Mus musculus: one gene and its partners. The protein of the gene in region 3 binds, or shares a complex with, the protein of the main gene of each other region. Links are inferred from orthologs where the notes say so. Each region holds a gene or a part of one and is shown on either strand. Other genes may lie near its edges. The genes, in order: Ncs1, Hpca, Nmt1 and Aifm3.

Evidence for each region.
Region 1: the proteins of Nmt1 (region 3) and Ncs1 are in contact, whole or in part, in a crystal structure (PDB 5O9S), measured with the Homo sapiens proteins. The link is inferred for Mus musculus from reciprocal best matches to the Homo sapiens genes NMT1 and NCS1. Residues at the interface, in NP_066565.1 of Homo sapiens: Tyr180, Val181, Glu182, Asp183, Asp184, Asp185, Met187, Phe188, Arg189, Phe190, Tyr192, Asn246, Thr282, Ala283, Gly284, Arg295, Tyr296, His298, Ser300, Lys310, Phe311, Ser312, Tyr401, Leu403, Ser405, Tyr420, Gly468, Ile469, Gly470, Asp471; in NP_055101.2 of Homo sapiens: Gly2, Lys3, Ser4, Asn5, Ser6, Lys7, Leu8, Lys9.
Region 2: the proteins of Nmt1 (region 3) and Hpca are in contact, whole or in part, in a crystal structure (PDB 7OWM), measured with the Homo sapiens proteins. The link is inferred for Mus musculus from reciprocal best matches to the Homo sapiens genes NMT1 and HPCA. Residues at the interface, in NP_066565.1 of Homo sapiens: Tyr180, Val181, Glu182, Asp183, Asp184, Asp185, Met187, Phe188, Arg189, Phe190, Tyr192, Ile245, Asn246, Phe247, Thr282, Ala283, Gly284, Tyr296, His298, Ser300, Lys310, Phe311, Ser312, His313, Tyr401, Leu403, Ser405, Tyr420, Gly468, Ile469; in NP_002134.2 of Homo sapiens: Gly2, Lys3, Gln4, Asn5, Ser6, Lys7, Leu8, Arg9.
Region 4: the proteins of Nmt1 (region 3) and Aifm3 are in contact, whole or in part, in a crystal structure (PDB 6SJZ), measured with the Homo sapiens proteins. The link is inferred for Mus musculus from reciprocal best matches to the Homo sapiens genes NMT1 and AIFM3. Residues at the interface, in NP_066565.1 of Homo sapiens: Tyr180, Val181, Glu182, Asp183, Asp184, Asp185, Phe188, Arg189, Phe190, Asn246, Thr282, Ala283, Gly284, Tyr296, His298, Phe311, Tyr401, Ser405, Ile469, Gly470, Asp471, Asn473, Leu474, Leu495, Gln496; in NP_001373743.1 of Homo sapiens: Gly2, Cys4, Phe5, Ser6, Lys7, Pro8.

The regions. Positions count from the first base shown.
Region 1 is NC_000068.7:31,244,474-31,248,743, reverse strand, and holds the start of Ncs1 (neuronal calcium sensor 1), read right to left. Parts: upstream 2,822-4,270; 5' UTR 2,566-2,821; coding exon 2,502-2,565; intron 1-2,501. UniProt on the Homo sapiens protein: Neuronal calcium sensor, regulator of G protein-coupled receptor phosphorylation in a calcium dependent manner. Directly regulates GRK1 (RHOK), but not GRK2 to GRK5. Can substitute for calmodulin. Stimulates PI4KB kinase activity.
Region 2 is NC_000070.6:129,118,466-129,122,547, forward strand, and holds the start of Hpca (neuron-specific calcium-binding protein hippocalcin), read right to left. Parts: upstream 2,839-4,082; 5' UTR 2,757-2,838; intron 1,736-2,756; exon of another isoform or gene 1,685-1,735; intron 298-1,684; 5' UTR 277-297; coding exon 1-276. UniProt on the Homo sapiens protein: Calcium-binding protein that may play a role in the regulation of voltage-dependent calcium channels. May also play a role in cyclic-nucleotide-mediated signaling through the regulation of adenylate and guanylate cyclases.
Region 3 is NC_000077.6:103,027,138-103,031,377, forward strand, and holds the start of Nmt1 (glycylpeptide N-tetradecanoyltransferase 1), read left to right. Parts: upstream 1-1,405; 5' UTR 1,406-1,434; coding exon 1,435-1,565; intron 1,566-4,240.
Region 4 is NC_000082.6:17,490,526-17,494,747, forward strand, and holds the start of Aifm3 (apoptosis-inducing factor 3), read left to right. Parts: upstream 1-1,395; 5' UTR 1,396-1,547; coding exon 1,548-1,578; intron 1,579-4,222. UniProt on the Homo sapiens protein: Induces apoptosis through a caspase dependent pathway. Reduces mitochondrial membrane potential.

The DNA of each region.
Region 1 (4,270 bases), on a different chromosome or scaffold from region 3:
GACTCTCACTCTTGTTCTGTGTGTTGGTTTGTGTGTAGATGTATTCTACCCTTTCGATTGCAGCTGAAGGCCAGAGGTCAATGCTGGATGTTACAGCTTTCCACCTTCCTTTGCTTTTAAAGGTTTGTTTTATTTTTAATTATGTGCAAGGAGCTTGGAGCAGTTGTGTGTGTGAATACAGAACCCATAGAGACCAGAGACTGTGGCTCACATTGAGCTGGAGTTACAGGCAGTTGTGAGCCACACATGTGGGGGCTGGCAATTGAACTCTGGTCTTTAAGGAAGAGCAGTGCTCATTCCTAACCGCTAAGCCATCTCTCCAGCTCCTCCGCCTTATTCTTTGGGCTGGTGTCTCTCAATGAACCCAGAGCTGGCCATTTCACTGGACTGGCTGGCCAGTGAGCTCCCAGAATCCCTCTATGTCTGCCTTCCCCGTGCTGGAGTTATAAGCATGAACCACAGTATCCAGCTTACATAGGTGTGTGCTGGGGACCTGACTCGGGTCCTCATGCTTGCACAAAGCATCTCTCCGGCCTCATAATTCACACTGTCAAGAACTCAACTCCAGAGCTCAGCCCAGACCTAAGAGAAGAGCAAGCCAAGCAGCAGGGATAGGAGATGGTGACATTTGGGAATCCTTCCTGGATGATGCGTCCCTTAACTCCCTACTCAGTATTTCCCTGGAAGAGAGGGGAGAGAGAGAGAGAAAGAGAGAGAGAGAGCGCAGCTGTGGACCAACCACATAGACTTGCCTGGAGGGAGCTGGTGTTCACAGGGAGATAAGAGAGAAGCAAGTGAGTCCCCCAGCCCTAAGTGAGGCCTTGGATGAGGGGGAAGTGCCCAGACTGCCTCAATCCCTGAACAAAACTGCTCCACATCACAAAAGCCCTTTAAAAATAGCTCAGCGGAACTTCACCAGGCCAGTGCCTGACAAGAGTTCTGCTGGCCCCATTCTTCCCAAGTTAATGGCCAGCCCTTCAGAGATGGGGCTGAACGAAAGGTCTTTCAAATCCAGCACTGGGCCAGGGTAGGAAAGAGAGGCACAGAGGGCTCTTGGCATAAGCCAGGGATGCCAGCTCACATCTCCCAGCCTTGCCTTCCTCTCTATGAGCAGCTGGAGTGCCCAGAACAGGACAAGCTGTTGATGTACAGCTGTGCTAAGGACACAGCCGATGGTGCATGACACACTCAGTAAGCAGGACCCTGACTTCACAGGGCTCATTGGTGGCCCCCAGCCTCACCATCATGGAGACAGCATGGTACACCACATGCCATGGTTCCTGGAGAAGTCCATGGAGCCCTCTACCCTCCCCACACCCTGGGGTCCTGGCCCGTTCAGGGAGGGAGGGTGTCCCACCAATAGCCTACCTGCTAATGGCTGTGAGCCACACCTTCGAGGGTCCAGTTAACCTCACAAACAGCAACAAGCTAGAAAAAGCTACCCACCCAATCTGGAAAGAGAGAGTAGGCAGCCTGGGCTGGGAAGGATAGTTCTCCTGGATGTGACCTCCAAGGTGTCCAACTCCTCAGGACAGGGGCCAGGAGAGCCCAGGCAGTAAAGCCCCCTTTGTTCTAAGTCTGGGAGAGTGAGGAGCATGGGGCTAAGGCACTAGGTTGACCAAGACCTGCAAACGTGCTCAGAAGACCGATACCGGGGGTGGGGGTGGGGGTGAGAGCAGAGACCATGCACTGCACCAGAGCCTCCATCTACACCGAGCTGTCAGTTAACTGCCTGTCTTTCCGGGTGATGCAGAGCGCTCAGCCAAAGCTTCCCAGGACCCACTTCCAGGGCCACCCCTGGAGAGGCTGCGAGGAGGGGGGACACCTGGTGTGGAGGCACTAAAGATGCAGAGGCAGATCTGTGAAGTTGGGCAAGTGGAGAGCCACGCCTGGGACTGATCTAGTGGACCGTGGAGTGGGACAGACCTTCCTTCGCTCGTCAGCTCGGGCCATGTAAACCCATTTCCTGGTGCGGTAGAGACAGGAGAAGGGAAGGGGGGATGGAGAATACAGCCCAACCGTGCGACATCTAAGAGGGCGCCCAGGACCCTTGGCCCTCTACCGTCACTACCTGAGCGTTCTACCAGTCTCGCCAGCCCTCTTCCTCCCAACACAGTCACACTTGCCAGGGAGGGGGCGACAGGCCAACCTCGCAAGAGGCAGGAGCCGCAGCAGCATCATTAAGCATGAATCACCCACCCACCCTGCTCCAAGCAGGAGAGCCACACAACGCCCGGGCGCCCCCTCCTGGGACCACTGCCCCCCGCCCCGGCACAGCCCGGGTCCTTCGGACAGGAGGGGAGCAGCGGGTGGGCTGCGGATGCCCTGAGGACCCAGAGTGGTCCCTGGAGCACGCTGACAGGCGACACCCAGCCATGGCCGGGGGCGGGGGCGCGGATAGAACAATGGGCCAGGTGCGGGGCAGGGGCGCGGCCGGGAAGGGCGGAGGGAAGGTCGCGGCTCGATGGGGAATCGGGGATCTGGGATCGGGGCTCACTCACAGTAGGTTTTTCTGGTCAGCTCCTCCACAACTTCAGGCTTCAACTTGCTGTTGGATTTCCCCATGCTCGGCGGCCGCGGCCCCCGCTCCCCGGGCCGGACCCGCTCGGGGCGCCCAGCGGGAGCGGTTGGGTCGGGCCGGGGTGCGCGGAGGCCGGCAGGCCGGGCTGGGCCGGGCCGGGGCCGCGCCTTTGTCTGGCCGTGCCCGCGCGTCCCGTGCGCGGGGCTCCGGCGTGCTGCGCGACCGCGGCTGACGGTTCAAGGGGCCTCGGGGACCCGGCGAGGGCCAGGCCTTGGCGGTGCAAGCGGCCACGGCGAGGAGTTGCGCGGGGCTGAGAGCCGCAGCCGCCGGGGCTCGGTTGCCGCGGTCGTCCCTGGTTACTGGGCTGCGTAGCACATGCTCGCTACTGCTGCGCCGCCGCCGCCCCTACGCTCCCCGCCTCCCGCCCGCACCGGCGCGCCAGGGGTGGACTCGGAGCCGCCACTCATCGCCCGGCGCCACCTCCCGCCCAGCTCCGACAGGCGCGAGCTCCGCGTTGAGGCACCCCCTCTCCTGTTGGCTCTCCGGGGACGCTGGGAGGTCGCCGCACCGCCCCCTCCGCCGATCCATTCCCCCCTCTCCGCAGCGGCGTGGGCAGGGAGGGCCCGGAAAATCGGACGTGAACGAGGCCAAATCCCTGCCCGGCGCAATTCATTCATTCCACTTAGATGTGTTGGGCGCTGGGGACCTGGCGGCCAAGAGGACAGACGCGATCCCAGACCTCTCCAGGAGCATCCTGATGTGCTGGCTGGCATGGGTTTCGGTGGGAACACTTTTGCCTGGCCTTGAGGGAAGTGACTTCAGATTGAGAGAGGAATGGGGTATCAACCTGGAAGGGGTCTGGCCTGGGAGGGAGAGCAGCCTCTACACCCGGGGCTCCAGGCAAGGCTGGGAATGATCTGAGGCCAGGCAGAAGGGCCAGAGCTTCTGGAGACCAGCCTGGCAAGCCGCTTTCCCCAAAGACCTGGCCTCTGTCCCCGGTGCCCAGGAGTACTTGCAGTTCAAACCTTCTCTGTTGTGGGGCTTGCTTGAAGTGGCCAGAGGGAGCAGAGCCTGTTGGTGGGGCTCCATGCCTGGAAGCCTGCAGCTGGGGAAGGACTCCAGGAAAAGGATGGCCTGCTCTCCCCTCCTCCCAAAATGTCATCGTAATTGAGACCTCTCCTGACTTTCTGCCCAACTCTGTCTCCTTAACAGCTCAGGAAAACTTGGACCTCTTAGTCCATTGGCGCTTGCTTCTTCCAAAGAATGAGCCTCAGGGGGAGGGGAGCAGAAATATGTCTTGCTCTCAGAAGGCCCTGAGGGCCAGTGGCAACTTCTGTGAGCCAGTCTTAGTAGCAGAGGCCAGGGAGCCAGCCCAGCTAAACAGGGAAGTGGGTGGGGAGGCAGTAGGATCCCTGGTTCACAACTGGCTTAGACAACATTAGGAGGAAGAGTTCTCAGGGAAAGGCATGAAAATAGATCGGGTAGGGGAGGAATGACCCATGCCAGGAACCAGAGCCCTGGAAAGACCATGGCAAGATGAAGCCATTCCCTCCTGAGCCAGCAGGGATGCAATCACGGACAGAATTTCTTTTTTTCCCTCTCAGAGGGTGTAAAACCCTGCCTGGGGCGATGGTACCTTTCAACCCCACCTCTTGCATGTCTCCAGCCTTCAGATGGTCTCGGTTCCTTCCCTTACATGAGCCCAGGCCAGACCCAGGTCCCAGCTTGTTGGTGTGAAGAGCCCGTTCG
Region 2 (4,082 bases), on a different chromosome or scaffold from region 3:
GGTCACGCTCAGAGCAATGATGAACTCCCGGAAGTCGATGGTGCCGTCGCTGTTGGTGTCAAAGGTGCGGAAGACGTGCTCGGCAAACTTGGAGGCGTCGCCATAGGGGAAGAAGTTGGCGTAGATCTTCTTGAACTCATCCACGTTGAGGATGCCAGTGGGGCAGTCCTTCAGGAAGCCCTTGTACCACTCCTGTAGCTCCAGCTCAGAGAACTCCGTGTTCTCTCGCAGGTCCTGCAGCATCTCTGGCCGCAGCTTGCTGTTCTGCTTGCCCATGGCAGAAGAGCCAAGTCCCACCTGGGTCCCCGCCCCCAAAGGAAGTGAAAGGACAGAGAGCAATGGTTACATCCTCTTAGTCCCTTGACACGTCTCCAGAAGGGCCCTCAGACACAAGATAGCCCAAAGTCTCATTTGACCCAAGAAAAGAGAGAGATGGGCCCCAGATCACACAGCCTGCACTCTGCTCTGTGACATGCATGTCTGGAGAACAGACCCAAAGAAGGAAGGGACCAGCTCACACTCACTGGCACCCTTCTGGCTCTCCGTGTCAAGCCCATTCACAAGCACACGTTTTCACCCTCCCAGAGGGAAATCTGAGGGTTAGCTCCATTTTCTACATGAGAAGGGAGGCTCAGAAAATCAAAATGATCTGCTTCAGTCACACGGACACTACCGGCAATGCTGATTCCCGGAGTGTCCTAGGAGGGTGCAGAAAAGTTCCCGAGTCCCCCTTTTCACCTGCTGCCCCCTTCATGGCTTCCCAGATGTCTGTTGACCCCACAGTGCACCTACTGCCCCAACACTGTCCGATTTTCTTCCTGAAGATATGCTTAGCAAGAAGTATTAACCTGGACCCTAGAGCCAGATCACCTGGGCTGGGATCCCGGCGCTCCTTCTTTTTTTAAAATACGTTGTTGTTTGTTTTTGTTTTTCAAGACAGGGTTTCTCTCTGTAGTCCTGGCTGTCCTGGAATTCACGCTATAGAACCAGGTTGGCCTCGAACTCATGGAGATCCAGCTTCCCCTCTTACCAGCTATGTGCCTTGGACAATTTCCTATACTTGATCTTAGCCAAAAGGCCGAGAAGGGATGACAATTTCCTTAAACTCTCCAACTCAATCACAAAGTGGGTTTAATAATAGTACTTACTTCATAGGGTTATCTTGGGAATTAAGCTAGTTAATACCTGTGAGCCCTTAGAATCATGCATGAGTGGGCAGGTGCTACATACATGTTGTATTCAGACTCCACAAATGCCTGTCCCCAGCACACATAAAGCCACACAGATCACCAAGTGCCTAGGTCCCTAGGTTCTCCGACACTCACATACTTGCCTCCACCACACATGGATAGCCATGCCTCCACACACAGCAATCCCACTGCCCCACAACTCACACGCACTGACACATGGCACCACGCACAAACTCCCATACACGGTGCATCAAGACACACCAGCCCACGACCCCACATGTCTCACACATGCCATTACACGCCAACTCGAATGCCGACACCTCTCACATGGCCAGCTGCACGTGGGACCTTCAGGCACCCTTGTCATTTGTCTTTCTATCCCCGAGGTGCTGTCAGGTCCCAGGAGAGGGAGCTGCAGCCCTTCCCAGACCTGATGAGGACTCTTTTTCTTGGGGAGCCCTACCCAGCCCACCCAGACCTCCTTCATCACTCACCTTTTCTCCGGTTTCAAAAGGTCCCCTCAGGGCAGGAATTAAAGTGTGAAGCTGAGCAGAAGCAATGGAGGGGAAGTAGACAGGCAGTCATAATCATAGGTGTAGGGGTGTGTGCAAGTGTCCCCTGAGGTTGGATATACGAGCAAGACAGGGTGAAAAGGGTTCCTTGTGCATGAAGGTACATGAAGCTCTATGCACACGTGTGTGCACATGTGTGTGGGTGCATGTTGAATGCGTATGCTCACCCATGATGTGGGTCCTGGGCTCTGAACCGCATCTATCTCCCTGTGCGTTTCTATGCATGGCTGCATGTGAATTCAATATGCGTGTTGAGCTGGTATGCACCTGCCACAGAGAGAAATGTTCCCCAGGAATGTGAGGAGACCTGTATCTGTCCTCAGTAGTGTGTGTCATGCATGTTCCTGTAAGTTGGTGCCCCCTCCTTTCTGGATTAGCCTCTTCTGCCCCAGGCTGAGAAGCCACAGAACAAGTATGTGGGAAGGGACTGAGGAAATGTGCAGGGCTGAGCAAGGGAGTGTGTCCCTTACTCCCCTCCTCAAGGTCCAAGGAACTGGGTCAGCGGGGCGGGGGCAGAGTGATGCGCTGAGCAGAAGCGCTCCTCCAGGTGCCCCTTCCTCTCGGCCACCCTCAGCATTTCCTTTCCCAGCTGGAAGAAATGCCTGTTTTCTCCTCAAAGACCCCCAGTGCCCAAAATAGAAGGAACCTCACAGCTCTATCTGAGAAACCCGCCCTAGCATCCCCTCCAAGCCTCCTCCGGCTCCAGCCCTGATCCCCCGCCTCCATTCTTCCCGCACTGGGTTCGAGGTCCCTCCTGGAGGGGGCGCCCGGGACGGTCGACGCGCGACTCCCAGGAGCCGGCCACTTGGCGGTCAGGACCCTGGAGAGCGACGCGCGATTTCCCCAGGGGCAGCCCCGGGCTTGCAGCGCCGCGGGTGGGAGGAATCCCACGAAGCTCAGGGAGGAGCGGGCTGGGGAGCCCTGGACTTGGGTTCCTGGCTCCCGGGCTTCCCTCCCCTCATCCCCGACCCCGGCCAGAGCGGCCCCCACTCACCCAGCAACGCCGAGACACCGACTGCGCAGAGAAGGCGGCGCTGCTGCGGCGCGCGGCGGCAGAGGCGGCCGGAGGGGCGGGCGGGACTGCGAGGGAGACGCCCCGCAGCGTTGGCCCGGAGCCCCTCCCCTGGGGGGGTCCCCCACTGGTAGCTAGGCTCCGCCCCCGCCCCCTCCCGGGAGAGAGAACAGAACGCCCTCGCTGCCCCGGCCCCCTCTCTAGGGAGCACCCCACCCTGGGAGAAAGATCGGGACCCCCCAGCTCTACAAGTCGACACGGAGGGGCAAGGAAAGAGGCGGGTCAGTGTCCAGGGACTGCTCTCCCAAGCCGGGAACAATCCACCCCTACCTGGGCGCAGGGCCGCCTGTCGCTCTGAGGGAGGAATCCGATAGGCACCCTCGCTGCCCCCGCACCTCAACTCCCGAGCCAGATGAACTGGGGGCTCTCTAGGGAGGAGGGAGCACCCATTGCTCAGTCCCAAGGTCTTCCAGGGGCCAGACACGCCCCCTGCTACCTCCGCCTCAGAGAGCCCGCCCCCCTCTCCTGCCTACTACTCCGGATGTCATCCCCCAACCCCTCTAAGAATTAATCCCACCTCTCACCATCCACTTACCTAGCTCTTCCCAGTACTCCTCCAGGCAAGGAACCCTCTCCTCTCCTCTCCTAGCCTCTGTGAGTGCAGGCCGTGACCTGCGAGAACGGAAGCATCTCCACCTTGGGAGGTGGGGGTGCTCAGGTGGGTATGCCTCCCGTCTGTACTAAGGACAGCTGCTCTTAGAGGCGCTGATGGGGTCACAACTCCTCCTGCCTGTAAGGGACTCTCCCTCCTCCAGCTCTGGTAACAATCGCTACATCCTGAGCTAAATGCTGTCCTCCCCCCACTCCGTCCCCCCCCCATCCCCCCCACCCCCCCCCCCGTCTCGTCTCTAGGATGTGGATCTTTTTGTGTTCTACATTGCAGACACTGAGAGTTAGAAGGGTTGTATACTTCCAATGTCTGGCAGCTAGCGAGTGATTTGAAATCAGGAGCTGCCGTTCATCCATTTCAAAAAGATTTTCCAGGCATTGCTTCTGCACTTGGCATGGTTTCAGACAGGGGATTGCAATCATGTAGAAGAAACAATGATATATATAACACACGTGCAGAAGAACGTAGCATGCGTAATCAGTTCTGGAGTGTGTTAGGTAAGCAATCTGGAGACAGACTGGAGCAGTGGTAGAGCGATGAACACTTCAGATTGCAGTTCAGGTGAGACCGGAAGTCTTTGTTGTCTTAAATAGAGGGTCTGACTCCTTCCTGTGCAGCAGCTCACCGGAGCATCCTGT
Region 3 (4,240 bases):
AAGGCTCTAAGCCCTTGTCTTTGGGCAATCTTCTCAGGATTATGATTAGACTAGCTAGTTACAGGACAAAGCCCAGAGGGACAGAAGCATTTAGGCAATTCTAAGATAGATGCTGCATTTACCTGGCTATAACTGATTCGTCCTTGGAAGTTGCCTGGATCCAACAGTGTGACTGGTGTGACGGTGAAGCCTTACAGAGGGCACAGAGTAGGTAGATACAGATTTATAGACAGATTTTGCCGCCTACAAACAATGTACCAACTTTTCTGGAACAGTCTTTTCATCTGTGAAAAAGGAATAATAATGGCATAACACATTCTAAGCTTGTTAAAATTATAGGAATTCAGGTACAAAAAGTCTTACGCCAGAGCCTGGCGTGTAAGTGCTCATTAAAGTCTTGTGTTGGGAGTAGGGGAGCTCGTGAGGCCTCAACCCCAGACTAAGAACTACAGGCAATTAAGGAAGGCTAAAAATGGGGGAGGAAATAGTTCTTCCCAGGCACACCAGCCCTGAAATCATTTGCATACAACATTATGCTTACTGAACGGGCTATATTTATATATTTAGGAAAACACACACACACCCATATGTAACAACAACTAAAGAAAAAGAGGCCATGAATTTGAGAGCAAGGTGGGGTGTATATGGGAGGGGTTAGAGGAAGGAAAGGGGAAGTGGGGAAATGGTGTAATTATCATAATCTTAAAAAAAAAGACTTGTTATGGAAGGCTCTAGAGGAGAATCAAAGGGAAATGTGAAGAAGAGCGCAGTGCAAAATTAGAAGCCAAGAAATGGTAAGCCTCCCCTGCAAGCAATCAAGTCTTTGGCTCGGGGGCAGTGTTCCACACACCTCAATGCACTGCCTCTCGGTTTTAGATTTCCAAAGACCCAGGTCTCCCTAAAGGCTGGAGTAGGGAAGGCAGCCGAGAGCAAACCTATAGGAAAGTCCTCTGTAAGGGCATTTGAGCTCCTGGAGAATCGCAGCCATGAACCTCAGTGTCTTTCACTTACCCAGGAATGGTAACGGTCCTTAACGTTAGCCGATAACGGCTCATCTGTGGCCTGTTGATTACCAAGGGCGGCCTGAAAACCTTGGACTTTGCAAGCCCTTTACTTGCGAAACTCTAATTCAACATGGAACTGCAACTCCCAGCGTGCCCCGCGACCACCCTATAAGGCGTACAGCGCCCTTCGTCTCAGAGGGCGGCCGAACCTAGGGGCTTCCGGAATTGCTGCCCGCTCCTCCCAAGGCAGCGTCCCTTCATGATTTCTGGGTTTTGTAGTCCACATCGGTACAGTTTTTTGAAAACAAGCCACCCTTAGTGGCAGATTTCTTCACACAAACTACAAAACCCAGAATACAGCGCGTACTTCCTCTGTCCAATAGGAGCCCTCCATGTAGCGGGGCGCGGAGTCCGGCTCTCGCAACCCAAGATGGCGGATGAGAGTGAGACAGCAGTGAAGCTGCCGGCACCTTCGTTGCCACTGATGATGGAAGGGAATGGAAACGGCCATGAGCACTGCAGCGATTGCGAGAACGAGGAGGACAACAGCCACAACAGGAGGTAACGAGATCATCGTAGCCCAATTCCTGTCCGGTCTCCCACAAGCTGGGTATCTGGGGTGCGGGGAAGTCACCGGGAGCTTAGTCTAACCCCACCCCCATGTTCTTATTGGCTAAGCCATTGAGATCCTACCTAGCGATTGGTTTTTGTCTTTGTCACTTACCAGGATGGGTGCTCAGATATTAAGGGTCGGAGACATGCAATACTTTTATTATATAAAAGTTCTGTTTAGTGTACCACTCCCTTGCTTTAGGCACGATGGGGGAAAAGAACATTTTGAACGGTAGATTTCAGTAGTACAATGCAGAGCAATCTAGAAGCTGCGGTTCAGAAGGAACGTTACTTATAAAGGTGTATGAGAAACGTGACTAGCCATAAACTAATAATAAAACATTTCGTTGTAGTTCACGCTCAATGAGGAAATTCACTAGGCTATACAAGCCATGCATATAATTATGTTGTAAAATATAACTGCCAGACAAGTCCGAAATATAAACTCACTATGATCCTATGTTATTAGTGATGTGATGTTTTGATTTATTCAGTGTCTGTTGCCTCAAATAATCGGTGAAGAGTCAATTTCATTGTACCTTCACTTTGTTAATTTAGTGAAGGGCCTCAAAGCTTCAATAAACTGATGTTGCTTCTTGGAGAACATGTGGTATTTGTGGGGTACTACTGCACGTCTTGTACTTTAGGGTCTCCCTGGGGTTTTTTGTTCGTTATGTTTTGCCTTTTTAGACAGGTTCTACTGTGTAGCTATGGCTGGCCTGGGGCATACAATGTAGAACAGATTGACTCCAAACTTGGGGTGATGTTCTTGTCTCTCGGGTATGGGGATTAGTACTGTTACAGGTCACTGTGTAGGTCAGGGTCTTACTATAAGTAATTTCAGTCTTTTGTTAGTAGAGAAGAAGAAATGGGCCAGATATTTGAGAATTTGTATTTGTCTTTGTTTTTCCAATCAGTACATCAGTAAGCCAGTCACGAAAAATGATGTATTTAAGTTCATATTATTTTCCTGCTGCTCTAACGCCCCCACCCAATATGTATGTATGTATGTATGTATGTATACATATGTATATTTTTGTGTAGAGACTTGTGGGTGTGTGATTGAGTGGTTGTTTGTTGTTGTTGTTGTTTTTTGTTTTTGTTTTGTTTTGTTTTGTTTTTTGAGACAGGGTTTCTCTGTGTAGCCCTGGCTGTCTTGTAGACCAGGCTGGCTTCGAACTCAGAGATCCACCTGACTCTGCCTCCCAAGTGCTGAGATTAAAGGCGTGTGCCACCACTGCCTGGTGGTAGTTTGGTTTTTATAGCCAGATTTTGTTATAGCCAACTTGCCATTAGCTGTAGCCGGCAGCTCTTAGCTTCCCCCTAGCCCCAGTTAAAGTTGAGATGAAGATAGAAGTTTGTAACCTTTGGCTACACTCTATTTATTCCTCTGTCTTAAAGATGGCTGAGCAAAGGATTAAATGATCAGTAATCTGACTGTGGTGAGTTTTAGGCTTAAAAAAAAAAATCCAGCCTCTTGTTCTCTCACCAGCATGGGGGGGAACAAAAATCACAAGAATGTGGCAGAGAAGAAAGCTTGCCAGCCTTGATTTCACGACTGTTCTGTGGTTGTAATTCACAGCAGATCCAGTGTAACAGCCTCCTTTAAGACAGCTATTCCCAAGAATGGAAGAGCTGAGAAGGAGGAAGTAGGCACTGGAGGAACACAGGACAGGCCTCTTGAGGGAGAAATCTTTCAGATGAGAGGGCTGAGTGTGAAAGTCCCTTCAGAAGTGGAAGTCCAACTTTTTCTTTGTTCATTCTATAATTGCTCTAATTTTCTCTGTGAAAATGTTGCCCCAACCGATGTCAGTATTTTTATTTTATTTTTTTTTAATAGGTTTGTATGCTGAAAAAAACCACAGTTTACAAAACTTTGCCAAGACTTGAGATCTAGTTTGGCCATAGAGCACGTTCTCACCATATTGCAGGCCCTGGTGTTCAGTCACAAGCATGAAAACCAAGAAAATCCTGTTTGCCAGGAAGTTCTTTGTTTTAGTTGTGGTGCCACAGAGTGATAGCTCCCTTTTCCCAAAATCTTTAGGGGTGACCTCCCCCCACCCCGGGGGGGGGTGTTTTATTACAGGATATGGTTTGAGTAAGCAAATTATATTAGTATGCCAAATCGAGGGGTCCGTGAAAATGAAGTAGTTTGCAGGTGGCACGTGACAAATGAAGGACCTAGTCAGGAGCTCCTTCTGATGCATAGAACCAGCATTTTCCGTTAACTATCAAAGCAGAGTAAGTGTTTTTGGAAGGAGACAGCATCACCCTTGGGAAAGTATGAACTTTGGAGTCATTGATACCTACTTTGAGCAGGGTGTGGTGGTGCAATACACCACCACCACCACCCACTCCCCCCAACCCCACCCCACGGTTTCTCTGTGTTACCCAGGCTGCCCTGGAACTTACTCTGTAGATCAGGCTGGCCTCACCAAGATCCACCTGCGGCTGCCTCTCAGGTGCTGGAATTATAGGTGTGTTCTACCTATAATTGCACCAGTTGGTACAATCCGTTGATCCCAGTGCTCCAGAGGCAAAGACAAGTGGATTTCTGAGAGTTCAGGACTAGCCTGGTCTATGTAGCAGACCAGCCAGGACTACATAGTGAGAGTCCATCTACA
Region 4 (4,222 bases), on a different chromosome or scaffold from region 3:
GGGCTGAAACCAGACCGGAAAGAGGTGGGCAACGCTGAGACATGGGTGAAACCAGGACCTCTGAAAGGGTTCTCTGGTTCCCAGGAAGGGAGCTAGAGGGGCAGTTAGCAACTGAGTTTTATCCCTTGAGTTGTCTCCTCTTGCCCCGACAAGGGCCTTGGGTTCCTCACCTGTAATTTGCTTCGAAGGTCAGAAGCTAGCAGTGGCTGGTCCTTTCCCATTCTGTATTTCCTTCTTGACATGGGGACTGGGCTAACCTAGTGACTCCCAGCACGGTTCAGTGCAGGCTTCAGGAAGAATTTCCAGGTGACCCAGAGCCGACTGTTGGGTAGAATTTGGACAGATCAGTTGTAAACAGGGTAGTTACACCTTTGTCTTGAGCCTTCCAAAGTCCACATCTTCTAGAAGGCCCACCTATGGCCACAAGGACACAATGGCCACAGTGATCTGTTTACCAGGTAGTCTTGCTCTCCCGTTTGGAGCCTTAGAGTGACCTGAGCACGTCCCAAGGCCTTGCTTATCTTAGGATTTATTAGGGTGAGGAGTGGGGAAGACCACACAGATGCCCCTAACTGCTGCTTGACCTTGGTGAGACCTTGGACCCCAGTCTTTCTATCTTCTTCAGCACTGCACAGCCGCCTGAGGGGTGGGGAAACTTATGGCTGCTGGGCTGCTGGGCATGGGGCAGAGGCAGAGCTGTGCGCTTGGTTTCCCTCTTCCCCCAACCCCATCAGTCCTGGGCTGGCTGCCCGCTTTTTTCCCCACAGAGCTGGGTTTCCCTGGGGACCAGTGGCTTGGCCTAGCCCCACACCCACAGCCCCCTCCTGGCCACAACTCATGCTAGAAGGCGGGCTGGACCCTCCAGGACACTGGCCTTCCGTGCCCTGCTGACCAAGGCCCAGTAGTCTCTCTCCATTGCTGGGCTGGGAGCAAGGAGCAGTGACTCCCATGGAAAGAGGTAGGTGACTAGAGGTTGCTAGTCAGGGCAGTGGCCAAGGCTGGGCTGGGACCCTTGTCACTCTCAGTGGAAGAAGAAGGATTCTGGGGACTCTGGTTGTCAGGGTTTTCTGTAGACGTGGTGGTCTTATCTAGGGAAATGGAGAGTCTCAGAGTCTCCAGACTTGTGGGATTTAGAAAAGGGGAATCTAGGGCTAGGTCTATGTAGTCGCAGGTTTATGGGCAGTAGCAGATATTAGAGCACAGAGGGTCTCCAACAAAGGATGCAGTAAGGGGAATCTGAGGTTCCTATGCCTAGAAGCCTCAAAGGGAGACAGATGCCCTACAAACAAGATCTGCCCTCCTCATGTAAGACTCTTCCAGGATTCCTCAAAGATGCCTCTGACTCTACCCAGACCTGCATCAGTGCTAGGACCCAATTTCCCATCTCCCCTGCAGGTCCTAAAGCTGTCTAGCTGGCATGGCAGCTCTAGCGTCTCTGAGGGCCACAGGGGGTCCAGTCCTGCAGGGCACATCCTAGACCTTGGACAGCTGGACAGCCTGCCATCGTGCTCCCACCAGCCAGGCCAGATCCCAGGCCACCGTTCACCATGGGCGGCTGCTTCTCCAAGCCCAAGCCAGGTACCTCCCCTTCTCTGACAGCCTCCCCCTCCCTCTGTACTTCACCAACCTCCAAAGTAGGTCAGGCTAGGCAGGAGCCCAGAATGCTAATGCACTGCAGGCAAGAAGGGTAAAAACCTAGGAAAGCTCTCCTGGACTCCTCTCCTGTAGCATCCCCCTTTTTATTTGGGACTTTGGGTGTTAGTGGTGGGGACAACAGCTGATCCTTCTTAGAAAGTTGAGTCTAGAAGGTTCCTCTTATGCTGCGCAGAGCTAAGGGCTACTTCTCCATTCTGGAGAAGAGAGGCTTTGGGGGATGTTCTTAGCCACAGTGTAACCTCTTTGAGTCTCAATTTCCCTCTCTATAAAATAGAACTGGACACTGCCCTCTTAGGGTGACTGACAGGGTATCATGGACAGGTCCCTACTCTTATCATCCTGTGACATATCAGACATCATCTTGGCTTCTCTGGGCCTCATCTCCTGTTTTGTGTTTTTGTTTGGGTTTTTGTCTTTTGAGACAAGATCTCACTATGTAGACCAGGCTGGTCTCATACTCACACAGATCCTCCTGCCTGTGCCTTGCAAGTGCTAGGATCAAAGGCATGTACCACTCTTCTGTTTTCTCCATGTATATAGGAAATCTTGCCTAGCCCTAGAAACTCCAGCCAGGGGTAGGATCATTCCAAGGTACTACAGTACTTAGGATCTACCCTGCCAGGGGACTCATGTCTTTGGGTTTCTCCCTCAGTCTGCACATTCCTTCTACCCTAGTCGTAACATCCAGAAAGCAGAACCTGTAGCCATGACAGGGATGCAGAAACTGAGGACTTCAGAGCCCAGTGAGTGCTCCACCCACCCAACTTGCCCTGGCTGGCTCACTCTGCCAGCTTGCTCAGCTCTCCTTACCTGATACCCATCAGCTCGGTTACCTTGGGACTCATAAGACTTTTCTTCCTTTCTTGGGTCTGAGGTAGGACTTGGGGGAGAAAGCGGAGCTGTGACCCACCCACTGGCAGTATTGGTGAAGATTGTCCATCCTCGCCTGAGTCTGTGCCAGATCCTACAGCCTCTGCCATAGGTGCCCACTGTCTTTGTCTCAGTTTCTTCATAGAGTGGGCAGGAATGTGCCTGCAAGATCCCATGGGAGTCCCATACTGGGCACCTGAGGGACTGCTTGGCTGGCAGGACATGGTGGGGACAAGATGCCACTCAGTCTCAATGAGCTGGCCTAATCAGGGACCCCTGACTCAGCACTTCAGATCTGGAGCTAGCCATTATCCCCTGACCTGAATCTTGTCAGTTTGCTTTTGTAATTTTTTTTTTTAAGATAAGATTTCATCTAGCCCAGGCTGGCCCCAGACTCACTATGGGGTTGAAAATGATCTTAACTTAGCAGCCTCCTATCCCCCTCACTGGTGCTAGAACTGCAGGAGTGTACAATTATGATCACTTTTACTTAGTACTGGAGATAGAACCCAAAGCTTTGGGAATGCCAGGCAAACATTCTTCCAGTTATGATGTTTGGTTTTTTTAAAAAAATTTTTAAAGACTTATTTATTTTATGTATTTTATGTATGTGAGTACATTTTGCTCTCCTCAGAAGAGGGCATCAGATCCCATTACAGATAGTTGTGAGCACCACGAGGTTGCTGGGATTTGAACTCAGGACCTCTGGAAGAGCAGTCAGTGCTCTTAACCACTGAGGTATCTCTCCAGCCCTGTTTTTTAAATTTTTATTTTTATCATTTAAATTTTGTGTGTGTGTGCGTGTGTGTGCTCGCGTGTGTGTGTGTGTGCGTGCATGCGTGTGTGTGTGTGTGTGTGTGTGTGTGTGTGTGTGCGTGCGTGCGTGTGTGGGTGCGTGTGTGTGTGTGTGCGTGTGTGTGTGTGTGTGTGTGTGTGTATGTGTGCGTGTTTGAGTGTGTGAGTGAATGGAGGTGCATGCAGAGGTCAGGAGAAACAGGTGCCCTTGGACTAGGGTAATGGCTGTTCTGAGCCACCTGGCTGCTGGAACTCAAACTCAGCTTCTCTAGAAGAACAGTATGTGCTCCAGCACTGGTTCTGTTTTGTTTTTTGTTTGTTTATTTTTATTTTATAAAATGAGCATTTTTGTCTTCGTGTATATAAATGCATAGCATGTGTGCAATGCCTGTAGAGGCCAGAAGAATTCATCTGACCTCCTGAGCCTGGAGTTACACATGGTTAATTGTGAGCCATGGTGTGGGTGCTGGGAATCAAGCTGGGTTCTCTGCAAAAGCAACAAATACCCTTGACCTCTGAGCTGTCCTCACCCCTTCCTTTCCTTTCATTAAAAGACAGAGTTTACTATGTAGCCCTGAATGACCTAGAATTCACTACTTAGACCAGGCTGGTCTTGATTGTACTGTGAGCCTCCCATGTGCTGGGATTACAGACCTGAGCTAGCATACCCATTTTATGTTTTAAAAACTTTGTGTTTTAAGGGATGATAAGTTTATTTTGGCTTACAATTTGAGGGTCACATTCTGTCATGGTGAAGGCCTGGCTGCAGACGGCTTTGTGGCAGAGAGAACATTCAACAGCTCTCTTTCTCTTTCTCCAGGAACTTACTGTTCTGCTCTGGGCTGGTCTCAAAGTGTCTGGCTATTCTTACTGCCCAGAGACAACATTCAAACTTGGGTTC